Macaca mulatta: one gene and its partners. The protein of the gene in region 2 interacts with the protein of the main gene of each other region in a pairwise test. Links are inferred from orthologs where the notes say so. Each region holds a gene or a part of one and is shown on either strand. Other genes may lie near its edges.

Region 1 (4,135 bases), on a different chromosome or scaffold from region 2:
GATCTGGGACCTTGTTCTCCACCTTGTTCTTTATGTGTATTGTGTGGTTTGGGTTGAATTGAGTGTCCATGGACCCCTGTCTGCAAGGGGTGGGGCTTGGTATCCACAGCCCCCTGGGGAGTTCTGGGAGGAGGGGGTGGAGAGGAAAGTGCTGGGGAGTTGCAGAGGCTTCAAACTGGTCCAGCAACTTGGGAAATTGGGAGTAGGAGCCAAGAGGGAGAGGAGAGGACAAGTGGATGGACAGAGGAACAGTGTGGACACCGGCAGGCAGGCGGACTCAGTGCTGTGGCATGAACCTGCTGTCCAGTTGGAGAGCGGTGCTGCCCCTTGGCCCTGCGGGCAGGGCCTGGCCATGGGCACAGCCACCCAGAAGTAGGTAGGCCCTAGAGTGCTGGGGCTGGGGCAGCCCAGAGGGAACAGAATGGGGACCTCAGGCCTAGCCCTCACCAGCTGAGGAGCCTGAGCTCTTAGGGCCCCTCCCCATGTCCCCCCTGCCATCCTCAGGCCCTGCTGGGCTGGGCCTGCCAGGAGGGGAGAGAGTTTGGGCATAGGACTGCCTTCCTGGGCTGGGTGATGGGCAGTCACACCGGGCTTGGTGTATAGAAAGGCCCCATGCTCCATCTGATGCTCTTGCTATCTTTAAATTCTTTATACTTTTGGAATAAAGGCCTCACATTCTCACTTTGCACTGGGTCCCACAAATTATGTGACTGGGAGGGAAAGGGATCTGTGTCCTGACACAGGGTGCAGGCCAGGCTGGGCCAGCCTAGGCAGCTCCATCTGCAGAGGCCCATCTGCTGCCTGCCTCAGGGACCCTGAGGGGTGCAGGTGGTGGGGGCAAGGCAGGTCAGACCAACCTGAATTTTAGGATTGGTTTCTGCAACCTTGCTATCTGCATGGCTTGGGTCAAATCACATCTACTGAATCTGTTTCCTTTGCTGTTAAAGGGGTTAATACTGCCCAGCACAGGGGTTACTTGAGACAGTGCAAATCCATGTTTCTTGGCACAAGGCCATTCCTTAATAACGAGAATGACTATGATGATGATTATAATGATGAACTGGTTATTAATAAATGGGGAAGGGCCTCATACAGGGGGTTACATAATAAGTGCCTGTTTCCACTCCCTCTTTCTCCCCTCACCTGGGGCTTGGTAAACTTCTGGTCCTCACCCCCTCGACTCTGGCCCTCTCTTGGGAAACAAGAACAGGTCCAGCACCCAGGTGCAGATGTGGGCAGGGAAGGGCACATGTGGCAGAGGCTTAGGTGGCTTTTACTGCCCTAGTGAGAGTTAATACATTACCTCTGCCCAGGCCCCCCTTTCGCAATCCGGAGCTGGGCATCTGGTTACAGATTTACTTCGAACAATGCCTGATATGTGGAGTAAAGTCCTCCTCCTTGGCCTTTGTAAAGTCCTCCCCTCTTCTCCTCAGGAACTGCTCAAACCTGTGCCCCAAAGATGAGGGCCCACGAGGACCCCGAGGGCCCAACACAGGTGCTGGGGGCTGGGGGTGGGGGCTAGGTGGGGGCGGGGGGCGGTGGGGGGCTGGAGGGCCTGTGCAGGCCTTCTCCCGGGAGGCCAGAGATAAACATTCTGATGAACTTGATAAAGAGTGACTGTCCTAAACTGAATGTGGCAACTGGGGGATGGGTGGGGGTGGGGGTCAAGAAGCCTGCAGCTTTGGGACTGGCTGACTCTAGGTTGGGGTTCAGGAGAGGCCTAACCTCCCCGCCAGTGACACCCCAAAGATCTCCAGGGGGCAGAGGTGGGACCGGATTGGACTTGTCCACAGTCTCGAGCCCTCTTGGCCCCCTCTCCTGTGGTCCCCAGACCTCTGACTTAGGGGTCCATTTCCCTGGCTAAAATGACAGGTCCTGAGGGCTCTAGAAGCCGGCACAAAAGACTCATCCCTGTGGGAAGCAATGTGAAGTGGGAGACAACTGTGGCCAGGCCGAGTGGGAACCGGGTGGATGAACTGTTGGGGAGGGCAGGGACCCCACTCTCAGTTGCTGACAGGCCACTCGGGCTGCCTGATTGTTTTCGGGGCAGAATGGATTTTGCCTGTCCCCATCACTCCACCCTAAGCTACTTATCTCTGCTGCCCCTAGCATGAATCCCCCAGGGACCCTCCGACCCCCCTACCCACAGAGCCTAAGTTTGACATGTTGTACAAGATCGAGGACGTGCCGCCTTGGTACCTGTGCATCCTGCTGGGCTTCCAGGTGGGTCCCCCAGGGCCTCCCTGCCCTCACTCTGCACACTCCGCGGTGACTCCAGCCTGTCCCTGGCCAGCAGGGAGTATCCTGGGTAACAAGAAGAAAAACCTGAGGTCAGCACATGGCTGTCAGCAGGCAGGGGTGGGGAAGAGACTGAGTCCTGAAAGAGGAGGAACTCCCTGGGGGCGTGTGACACTTGCCAGGTGGAGTGTTGGTGACAGGGTGCAGAGCCAACTCCATGGAAGCCACAGGAATAACTTGGGTGGAAATTAGTGACCCCCAGAGTGGTCAGCAGTAGCTCTCTGGGAATCCCTTGTGGGGACTGCCTCTCCTGGGCAGGCAGCCAGGTCAAGGCCTGCTGAGGCAGGCATGAGGACACTAGGCTGTCCCCTCTCCCTGGAGCTCTAGGGTCCTGCCTCATGCACTCTGCTCTCTCCCTCCGCCCAGCACTACCTGACATGCTTCAGTGGCACCATCGCCGTGCCCTTCCTGCTGGCTGAGGCGCTGTGTGTGGGCCACGACCAGCACATGGTTAGTCAGCTCATCGGCACCATCTTCACATGCGTGGGCATCACCACTCTCATCCAGACCACCCTGGGCATCCGGTGAGCGGCCCAGTTCCCCCTCCCCCCCCACTGTGATCCACACAGCAGGAGCAGGTGGGCTCCCAGAGGACACCGGTGAGACAAAAAAGCCACTATCTGCCTCCAACTGCTTCTCCTATCCCAGGCCAGCCTTAGAGCTGGGCAGCACAGCCCTGACCCTGGGAACCTTGATCTAGGCACACTCAAAAACCAAGCATCTGCAAGTTTAAGGGAAGGGAATTAAGGGAAGGGAATGTACCCTCGCTGGCTCTCCCCATTTTTTTTTTTTTTTTTTTTTTTTTTTTTTTGGAGACAGAGTTTCACTCTTGTTGCCTAGGCTGGAGTGCAGTGGCATAATCTTGGCTCACCACAACCTCCACCTCCTAGGTTCAAGCGATTCTTCTACCTCAGCCTCCCGAGTAACTGGGATTACAGGCACGCACCACCACGCCTGGCTAATTTTGCATTTGTATCCACCCGCCTTGGCCTTCCAAAGTGCTGGGATTACAGGCGTGAACCACCAAGCCTGGCCAGCTCTCCGCTCTTAAGCCGCATTCTGAATACTGCCCAAATGGCAGCCCTGAGCTGGCTCCCAGGGCCGGTGCCAGCCTCTTCAACAGCCCACCCTCCCAGGGCCCCACGCTCCCGAGTGCACAGCCCTAGGCCTGGGTGGCATTTGAGCTGTTTGAGCGGTGGCGGGCAGGGGAAGATTGTGAGAGAAATCTGGATGTGGGAACTGAGCTGTCCACTTCCGGGCAGGTGGTCCCTCCTAACAGTGCAGGACCTGGTGATGGGAAGGAAAGGGGGCAGATTTTGAGTTGGGGGCTCCATTTGTTTTCTTCCTTGGGCAGCCAAAATGTTACAGTTGGTCTTCCCTGGGGCCTCAGCGACTTTCATCTGCCCTTATTCCTCGTGTCTCTGTCATTCTCTCTGTGCTCTCCTTTCCTGATCTCTCCCCATGTCTATATCCCTCCTCCCCCCCCATCTATATCCTTCCTCCCCACCCTGTTGCTCTGTGCCTCTCCTTCAGGCTGCCGCTGTTTCAGGCCAGTGCCTTTGCATTTCTGGTTCCAGCCAAAGCCATACTGGCTCTGGAGAGATGGAAATGCCCCTCGGAAGGTGGGTACACTTCTGGGGTCCACACTGGGGAAAAGGGAAGGCCCAGAGACCTGGAGGTCTGAGCAACTGTCCCGGGTCCAGACACCAGGGTGCAGTCATGGCAGCATCTTCTCTCCCTCTCTTGTCTCTGTACCTGGTCCATGTGTGTGTCCCTGACTCTACCCCCAGAGGAGATCTACGGTAACTGGAGTCTGCCCCTGAATACCTCTCACATC
Region 2 (3,500 bases):
TGCTGTGCTGCTCTCAAAGCTCTTGGAGCAATTGTCTACATTACCGAAATCGACCCCATCTGTGCTCTGCAGGCTTGGTAAGAACAGACTGATAATACTATTAGATTCACCCTAGGTACTTTATGTTACTGAGAGTTCATAATTGAGTATATTAATCATTTTTGCAGAAATCACCTAGGGGAAGAGAAGGCTAGGACTGCTCTGTTCTTCTCATTCTAACCCTAGGGCTCTCTTAGAGCCTCTTGGCAGTTTTCCTTCCTGGATGGAGTCTTAGGGACTCTGAAGAGGCCAGTGTATATAGTTTAGCACAGCTTATCACTCACCATTCCTGTGAGGTGGCACTGGATCCAACTTTAGAAGGGGATCTTGTCTCATTTCATGACCATCTTCCCTCCCACTGCCTTCTTGCTTTACTCATAATGTTCCTTTCTTTTCTTCTAGCATGGATGGGTTCAGGGTGGTAAAGCTAAATGAAGTCATCCGGCAAGTTGATGTCGTAATAACTTGCACAGGTAAATAACTTGCATAGAGGGGTGTTTATTCAGAGGCTAAATCTTGAAAGTAGTCTTAGTGACTTTCATACAAAGGAGGTGAGACCTCTGTTCAGTATAAAGATCTCAGAACTAGAATAAGCTGTCAGAACCTTAACATGTTTTCCAGAGTAAAAAACTTCTTTCCCTGGTGACTTTTTATACTGCTTGATCTGAAGACCAGGTAGCCTAAGGAGTGGTTATGCATGTCTTCTCTCAGAATGTGTACATGTCCTTTAATGCCAGCAAGCCTCCTGTCTCCTATGTTCTACCAGAAAGCCAACCAGTACCTTTGTTGTCCAGCATCTCTTTCCTTAGCCACTCATCTTTACTTTTAGGAAATAAGAATGTAGTGACACGGGAGCACTTGGATCGCATGAAAAACAGTTGTATCGTATGCAATATGGGCCATTCCAATACGGAAATCGATGTGGTAAGGCTCCTCTCATTTGTTGCTAGGCATTTCTCTACTACCTTTCATTAATAACGATAGTCAACTGTGCTTTCTTCCTTTCAGACCAGCCTCCGCACTCCAGAGCTGACGTGGGAGCGAGTACGTTCTCAGGTGGACCATGTCATCTGGCCAGATGGCAAACGAGTTGTCCTCCTGGCAGAGGTACACACAGAAAAGGACTCTGGCAGAGCAGCACAAGCAGAGTAGTTAGATCCATGGTGGGGGTGGCGGGGGGGAACAAATATTGGGCCTGTGTTTCCCTGAATTTTATCTTTGGAGAGAGAGATATTTCACAAATTATCTGGTCCCCAAAATAAAACCACTTAAAAAAAATCTCATTACTAAGTAACACTATTTCCTAACCACAGCTGATTCTTTAACCTTTCAGACTCAGATGGATTTGCAGAAAATAGGAAAAAGCCTAGAGTCCTGATCTGGAACTGTAATTCTTCCTCTTCCAGCTGAGTCTAGAGGGGTGTAAAGTCTTCTTCCGCTTTGGCTTGACTTGTATGCCATTGGAATCTGAGACAGAGCTCATCCCAGGGCTCTCTCTTACCTTTCCAGGGTCGTCTACTCAATTTGAGCTGCTCCACAGTTCCCACCTTTGTTCTGTCCATCACAGCCACAACACAGGTATGTGGCAAAATGCCTGCTTACATTGCACCGCAATTTGTGGAACTGGGCGTAGATCAGTTCCAGTGAGGGTGTACTGTACTATGTTCTCATCATCCTATTCTTTTTTTATGTAATAAATTGTTGAGACTTAGGTATTCTCAAGTACAGAAAAGAGTCACTAGTCAGTATTTGTTGAATTGGCTGTTTAGTTGAGAATATAATGTTCCAGCTTAGTTTTATTTGAGTTGTTCTTTTGTCAGGAACTAAACAAAAACAACAAATCCTCTTAGGATGTGTGCTGCCCTTTAGTATAGGCAAAGTCTTAGGTGCTGTCACTATGGTAGATCACTGTAGTACTTACCCAAATGCTATTAAACCTGGTTTTATTTTTATGTACCTGTCTAACAATTATTTTTATGTTTTCTGGTCTTCTTTTCCCACCTTAGGCTTTGGCACTGATAGAACTCTATAATGCACCTGAGGGACGATACAAGCAGGATGTATACTTGCTTCCTAAGAAAATGGGTGAGTGAAAAACAGTGGAATCCTATGCAGACAGCTGCATAGTTTGGTAAAATGACTGCCATGAAAGGCATTGGATTTAGAGTCAGAGTTCCAATTCCTGTTCTTGTGCTTACTGGTTGTTTGACCTCAGGACAAGTTCTAATCTCCATGATCCTCAGTTTCTTGATTGGTAAAATGAGAATAATACTACATACATTGTAGAATTGTGTGAGAATCCCAGCTAATGAGTAACAGTGCTTAACACAATGGTTTAGGGTAGATGTTCTTACTCTAAGTAGCCTTATTAAGTTCAGTAAACTTCCTAGTGCAGCTGAGTACATACAGCCTTGGACCAAAATGAAAGAAACACAGGTTTTATTGTCCATTATCTGTGAGGATATGCAAACTATCCAATCTCTTGTAAGCAACCCATGCTGTGTTAAAGTGACATAATACATCATCTGTAGTCCTTTACCTTTCTGCATGGTGGTACCCATCTCCCATATCTCCTTGGCTAGGCCAAATCCCTTACTTCTTAACGCTAAAATACTTCTTGCTGTCCTCTCCTCCAATAGCTTACTTCAGACTTTTTTTTTTTTTTTAAGTGTATAATTATAAAAGGGAAGCTTATCTATGGAAAAGTAATAATTTTGTGCCAACTACCTTGGAAATTCATGATCCTAAGATTTGATCCTAAGATCCATGGATCTTATCCTAAATAAGTGTTATTGACACAGGCTCTTCCTAGCTTACTGGTGTCCACTTTGATTGCTAATTTGACTATAATTTAATCTAGTTAAGGAGGTTGCTGCAGGAAGGTAGGAGTAGCATGTGACATGTTGGCCACTGCAGGGAAGGCCCCTGCTTTGTCACAGAAGGATAGAGAGGTAAAAGCCCACTCCCTTTTGTTACCCTGGTAAGTGGCTTTTCTGAACTCACTTGAGATGTGCTGAGAGAAGCACCCTGCCCAGAAAGGCAGCCTTGAGGTTTTTTTTTATTAAGCAAATATTTCAAGTTGTGGATTCTTTTAGAGTTATTCCATCCCTTGTCTGCTTTCTTAAAAAAGCTTCAAATGAAAATGGGAAATTATAACCTGAGAGACATTTTGAAAAGGAGTGTGCTCTCCTGCCACTTTGCTCTTCCTAGATGAATACGTTGCCAGCTTGCACCTGCCATCATTTGATGCCCACCTTACAGAGCTGACAGATGACCAAGCAAAATATCTGGGACTCAACAAAAATGGGCCATTCAAACCTAATTATTACAGGTAAACCTGGGGAGAAGCAAGTGAAAAGCTCTTTTTCCCAGTATTAAACCAAGCAGGCTAGCCTGTTTCTGACATAAAGATCAAATGTTGTACCAGAGTACAAGAAATCTGTTCCAGGCCAGGCACGGTG
Region 3 (4,091 bases), about 60 Mb from region 2:
CTACAAAAGAAACTGTCACTGGGAGCGGTGTGGCCAGGGAGGAAGCAGTGCTGCCAGGCTCGGCTCCAGGGCACAGCTGGCTGGCGGCTGCCCTGTCCGCAGCAAAGGGGCACAGGCGGCCGGGGACCGCGAGAGGTGGCGAAGTGGCACCGGGCGCCGAAGCTGCTGAGCGCTCGCCGAGACGGCGGCGGGTCTGGCTGCGCCCTGGAACTGTGGCGACTCCCCCTACTCAGAACTTGGCCTGCGTTTCCCAGGACTCTCCCCATCTCCGGAGGCTCCCACAAAACCGGGAAAGGAAGGAAAGGACAGCGGCGGCAGCAGCTCAATGAGTACCTACAACAGAAAGCCTGAACGAGCTCGGTCGTAGGCGGGAAGTTCCCGGGGGTCTGCCCAGTACAGCCGCAATGCTGCCGCGAGCTGCCCCAGCAGTCCGGGCCCCGTAGACGCTTCCCGCATCGCTCTCCTCCTTCCTCAGGCTGCCGGGAGTCCCGGGACCTGGCGGGGCCGGCATGACGGGCTTCTCGGGGGCCCGCCGCACGCCCGGCAGCCTCCGGAGACGCGCGCCGAGCCCGGCTCCCACGGCCTCTGAGGCTCGGCGGGGCTGCGGCTGCCTGGCGGGCGGGCTCTGGAGCTTTCCTGAGCGGCATTAGCCCACGACTTGGCCCGGACGCGACTAAACGCTCTTCTGGAGAAGCCCAGAGTACTGGGCAGTCGTTACGACCTGTAACTTGAGGGCCACGGAACTGCTACTCCCGTTCGCCTTTGGCGATCATCTTTTAACCCCCCGGAGCACGTCAGCATCCAGCCACCGCGGCGCTCTCCCAGCAGCGGAGGACCCAGGACTGTCCCTTCGGCGAGACGGATGGAAACCGAGCCCCCTGGAGGACCTGCCCCTGCAGTTCTGCCTCACACGGCTCAAGTCACCACCGTGAACAAGGGTGGGTGAATGCCTTTTCTTCCCCCCGAATGTCTTTCCTTCCGCGGTATTTTCTGCCCCGATCTATAGTCCCTTGAGTGTCCACACACACTCCTCACAGAGATCTGTAGCGTAGGTACGTGACAGCTCTGCCTACATCTGACGTCCGGAGTCATTACCCAGGAATGTATGTGTGTCTGTGTGTGTCTCTGTGGAGTCGTCAGAATTCTTCATAGGGGTTAAGCTAAAAAAGCGAGGCGAGGAGCCCCTCTCCAATGGCTCAGTTTTGCTGAATAATCACGTGTGAATCGAGGGGCGGGCTTTTGGCAGGCAGATCTTACTAGTATTTACTACCAAGCTCTACTCCAGATTAACCATCCCAGTCCTTCTGTCAGTCTCCGATGCCATCATGCAGCCTGGTTAGGAGCAAAGGAAAGGGAAAAAAGAAAAACGACTAATTCATCTTTTCCTGATCGTCAGGACCCTAAAGAATGGCCGAGCCTTGGGGGAACGAGTTGGCGTCCGCAGCTGCCAGGGGGGACCTAGAGCAACTTACTAGTTTGTTGCAAAATAATGTAAACGTCAATGCACAAAATGGATTTGGAAGGACCGCACTGCAGGTTGGTATTCAGAGAGGTGGGGAAAACAAGTCAATAATGTTGCCTACGTGACCCGGTTTTCTAGATTTACAGCTTTTAAGCTTTCAGGGACATAAAATTTCACTGTTTTTAAACCTAGTTGGTTGCCATATTTTATATCTTTAAGTGGATGCAACTTCTCAAAATGACGTACTTTGAACAAACTCCTCAAATCCAATAACATCCTTGATATCAAGTGGGGTCCAGATTTGGTCTTAGTTTTTGGAATCTTTTTGTGACGGTGGGGATTTTAGAGTAGTCATTGTAGGGCCGAGGTTTGTTTGTTTTGTTTTGTTTTTAAAGACAGCTCTGTAAACACATTATTATGATTATTATTTGAAATACACTGCTATTAGTGGTTTCACGTACTTTGCCCCCAGTAATAGACTTTAACGTTAATTTTCTTGACTACTGGTGAGGGTGTTTTTCCTTCAAATGCTCCAAGTTTTGACAAACGACTTTTCCTCGTTTGGAATGGGTGGCCTGGGCACCGGGACAGGATGTACATTTCACAGTTAATGTAATACCATCCACTCATTCAGGAGTCGGGAGGAATAAAAAGTTGAATTTTCTAATCAGAGCTCAGCTGCAGTGTCTTTGTCTCTACGATTATGCCGTGGTGTGCTCTAATTTTCAGTAATTAGATTTACAGGCAACGATTGACACATGTCCAGCTGCCAAGTATTGTACCTGATAATTTTTTTCTTCTTCTGAATGTTATCATGTAATTTAGGTGAAAGGCTTAGAAACAGAAAAATGACAAAATAGTTTAAAATAGTTAATTTATCAGAGTTCTGATGATATTCTTATGAGCTATTCTTATTTGGAAATGCAACACTTGAAGCTGTTTTTGAAAACCCATTGGGGAGAGGGTTTTTAGAGGGCTTTGTTTCGGTTACAAGAATTAAAAATTTAAGTGCCAGGAGATATACTAGTAACAAACAAAGTCCATGTAGTCTGTACGTTTTCAATCAGAATACACTGGCCTTGCAAAAATTTCAGTATTAAGGAAGTTTATGCACAGATACTAAATTATTTATCTTGTTATTTCTGCTACATTAAGTAATGATTTTTTTTCTTTTTCTACCTAGTAGTTTTGAACAGGTTTAGTGATGATAGCAAAGTAACAAATTTAATATATTGAAAAGCTTCCTTTTGAAAACTCAAAAGATTATATAAACTTCACAAAGAATGAGCTACTTAACCCATGTTCATAATAAGATTTTACAGGATTTTTGACGAACAGAAAGACTGGGAAATTAATAATATTCTTTTAAAAAGTTTTGACAAACATTTTTAATACAACTTTGCAATCTTGTTTATATTAAACATACTTATCAAGATACTAACACCCACTTATTGTGGCTTAGTCCTTGTACATATAACGAAACACACAGAAACTGGAGTTTCAAGGCTTATTTTCATTATGTATAATCCTAACTCTGAAGTTGTGTCATAAGTCAAGAAATAACTTTCTTCAAAACCATTTCCAATATTACTATTATTTTCTGTGAAAAAAGGTGAATTTTATTCTACAATTATGTTTATTTAACTCAATTTCAAAAGCCTTTTCCACCTTCCTAGTGTATATTTTTCTATCAGGTTAATATCAAAGGCCTTAATCGTATGTTTGCTTTACAAAGATCCAAGATATCTGTCTCTTATTTTTCTCATTGCAGGTCCTTAAATATGACTAAATCTTTAGAGACAGTTGTGGTGGTATCAATTTTTAATAACCAAAAGTATGTTTCATTGAAGTTCTTGAAATATAAATTATGTATCACTGTTTACCACTGCTCCAAAGGAAGAGCTAAAAGTCAACAGAGTTTTATCAACAGGGGAGCTTAATATCTTGTCCATCTATATAGTTTGCATTTACAAAATATTACTCATTCTAAATATATTTTATTATTTAATATGTGATTAGATTTTTTAAACATTTAAAAAAGATAGATCGACTTTGTATTTTCCATTAGCATTTAATTTCATAAACATTGAGTGTCTATTATATAAGATATTTATTATAATTTAGATTATTATAATATACCTAAATATAAATAAACCAGTGTAAATGCTGAAAATATGTGGCATGTTAATGAAAGTAATATTTTTTCACAACTAAATTATATGTATTTTATGTTTGCATGATGTTCTACAAGATATTTTATAACAGACCACTGATAGAGTGAAACATATTCAAACAATAGTAAATAATCTTCGTTATGTGAATTATTTGTATGTTGATAGCAAGTGGTAATACCACATTCTGACTTTTAAAATGTTGGCAGTTTACAAATAGCTATTCTTTAAATGCTTGATAGTAACTGAAAAAGGAACTAACACAGGATCACCAGTTGATTATTAAATTAGCTCAAACCACAAGACAAGGCACAAGGCTGTCCGTGTCCCAAAACACCCATTAAATATCTTATTTTTTCTTCTTTTGCTCACTTGAAAATCAGGAGGCTTGTCAGAACTTTGAGAAACAGCATATAATGTAATAGGGTGACTATTTCATTATTTTCAAGAACAGTTGT

Evidence for each region.
Region 1: the proteins of AHCYL1 (region 2) and SLC23A1 interact in binary tests that used the Homo sapiens proteins (3 or more experiments, as listed by UniProt). The two-hybrid records come from large-scale screens. The link is inferred for Macaca mulatta from reciprocal best matches to the Homo sapiens genes AHCYL1 and SLC23A1.
Region 3: the proteins of AHCYL1 (region 2) and CDKN2C interact in binary tests that used the Homo sapiens proteins (3 or more experiments, as listed by UniProt). The two-hybrid records come from large-scale screens. The link is inferred for Macaca mulatta from reciprocal best matches to the Homo sapiens genes AHCYL1 and CDKN2C.

What each region holds. Positions count from the first base shown.
Region 1 is NC_133411.1:148,245,512-148,249,646, reverse strand, and holds the start of SLC23A1 (solute carrier family 23 member 1), read left to right. Parts: upstream 1-1,335; 5' UTR 1,336-1,459; coding exon 1,460-1,495; intron 1,496-2,109; coding exon 2,110-2,223; exon of another isoform or gene 2,224-2,304; intron 2,305-2,417; exon of another isoform or gene 2,418-2,623; intron 2,624-2,664; coding exon 2,665-2,822; intron 2,823-3,831; coding exon 3,832-3,920; intron 3,921-4,088; coding exon 4,089-4,135.
Region 2 is NC_133406.1:130,177,066-130,180,565, reverse strand, and holds part of AHCYL1 (S-adenosylhomocysteine hydrolase-like protein 1), read left to right. Parts: coding exon 1-77; intron 78-441; coding exon 442-512; intron 513-868; coding exon 869-963; intron 964-1,047; coding exon 1,048-1,146; intron 1,147-1,548; coding exon 1,549-1,617; intron 1,618-2,045; coding exon 2,046-2,124; intron 2,125-3,249; coding exon 3,250-3,370; intron 3,371-3,500. UniProt on the Homo sapiens protein: Multifaceted cellular regulator which coordinates several essential cellular functions including regulation of epithelial HCO3(-) and fluid secretion, mRNA processing and DNA replication.
Region 3 is NC_133406.1:189,694,273-189,698,363, reverse strand, and holds the start of CDKN2C (cyclin-dependent kinase 4 inhibitor C), read left to right. Parts: upstream 1-1,291; 5' UTR 1,292-1,407; coding exon 1,408-1,536; intron 1,537-4,091. UniProt on the Homo sapiens protein: Interacts strongly with CDK6, weakly with CDK4. Inhibits cell growth and proliferation with a correlated dependence on endogenous retinoblastoma protein RB.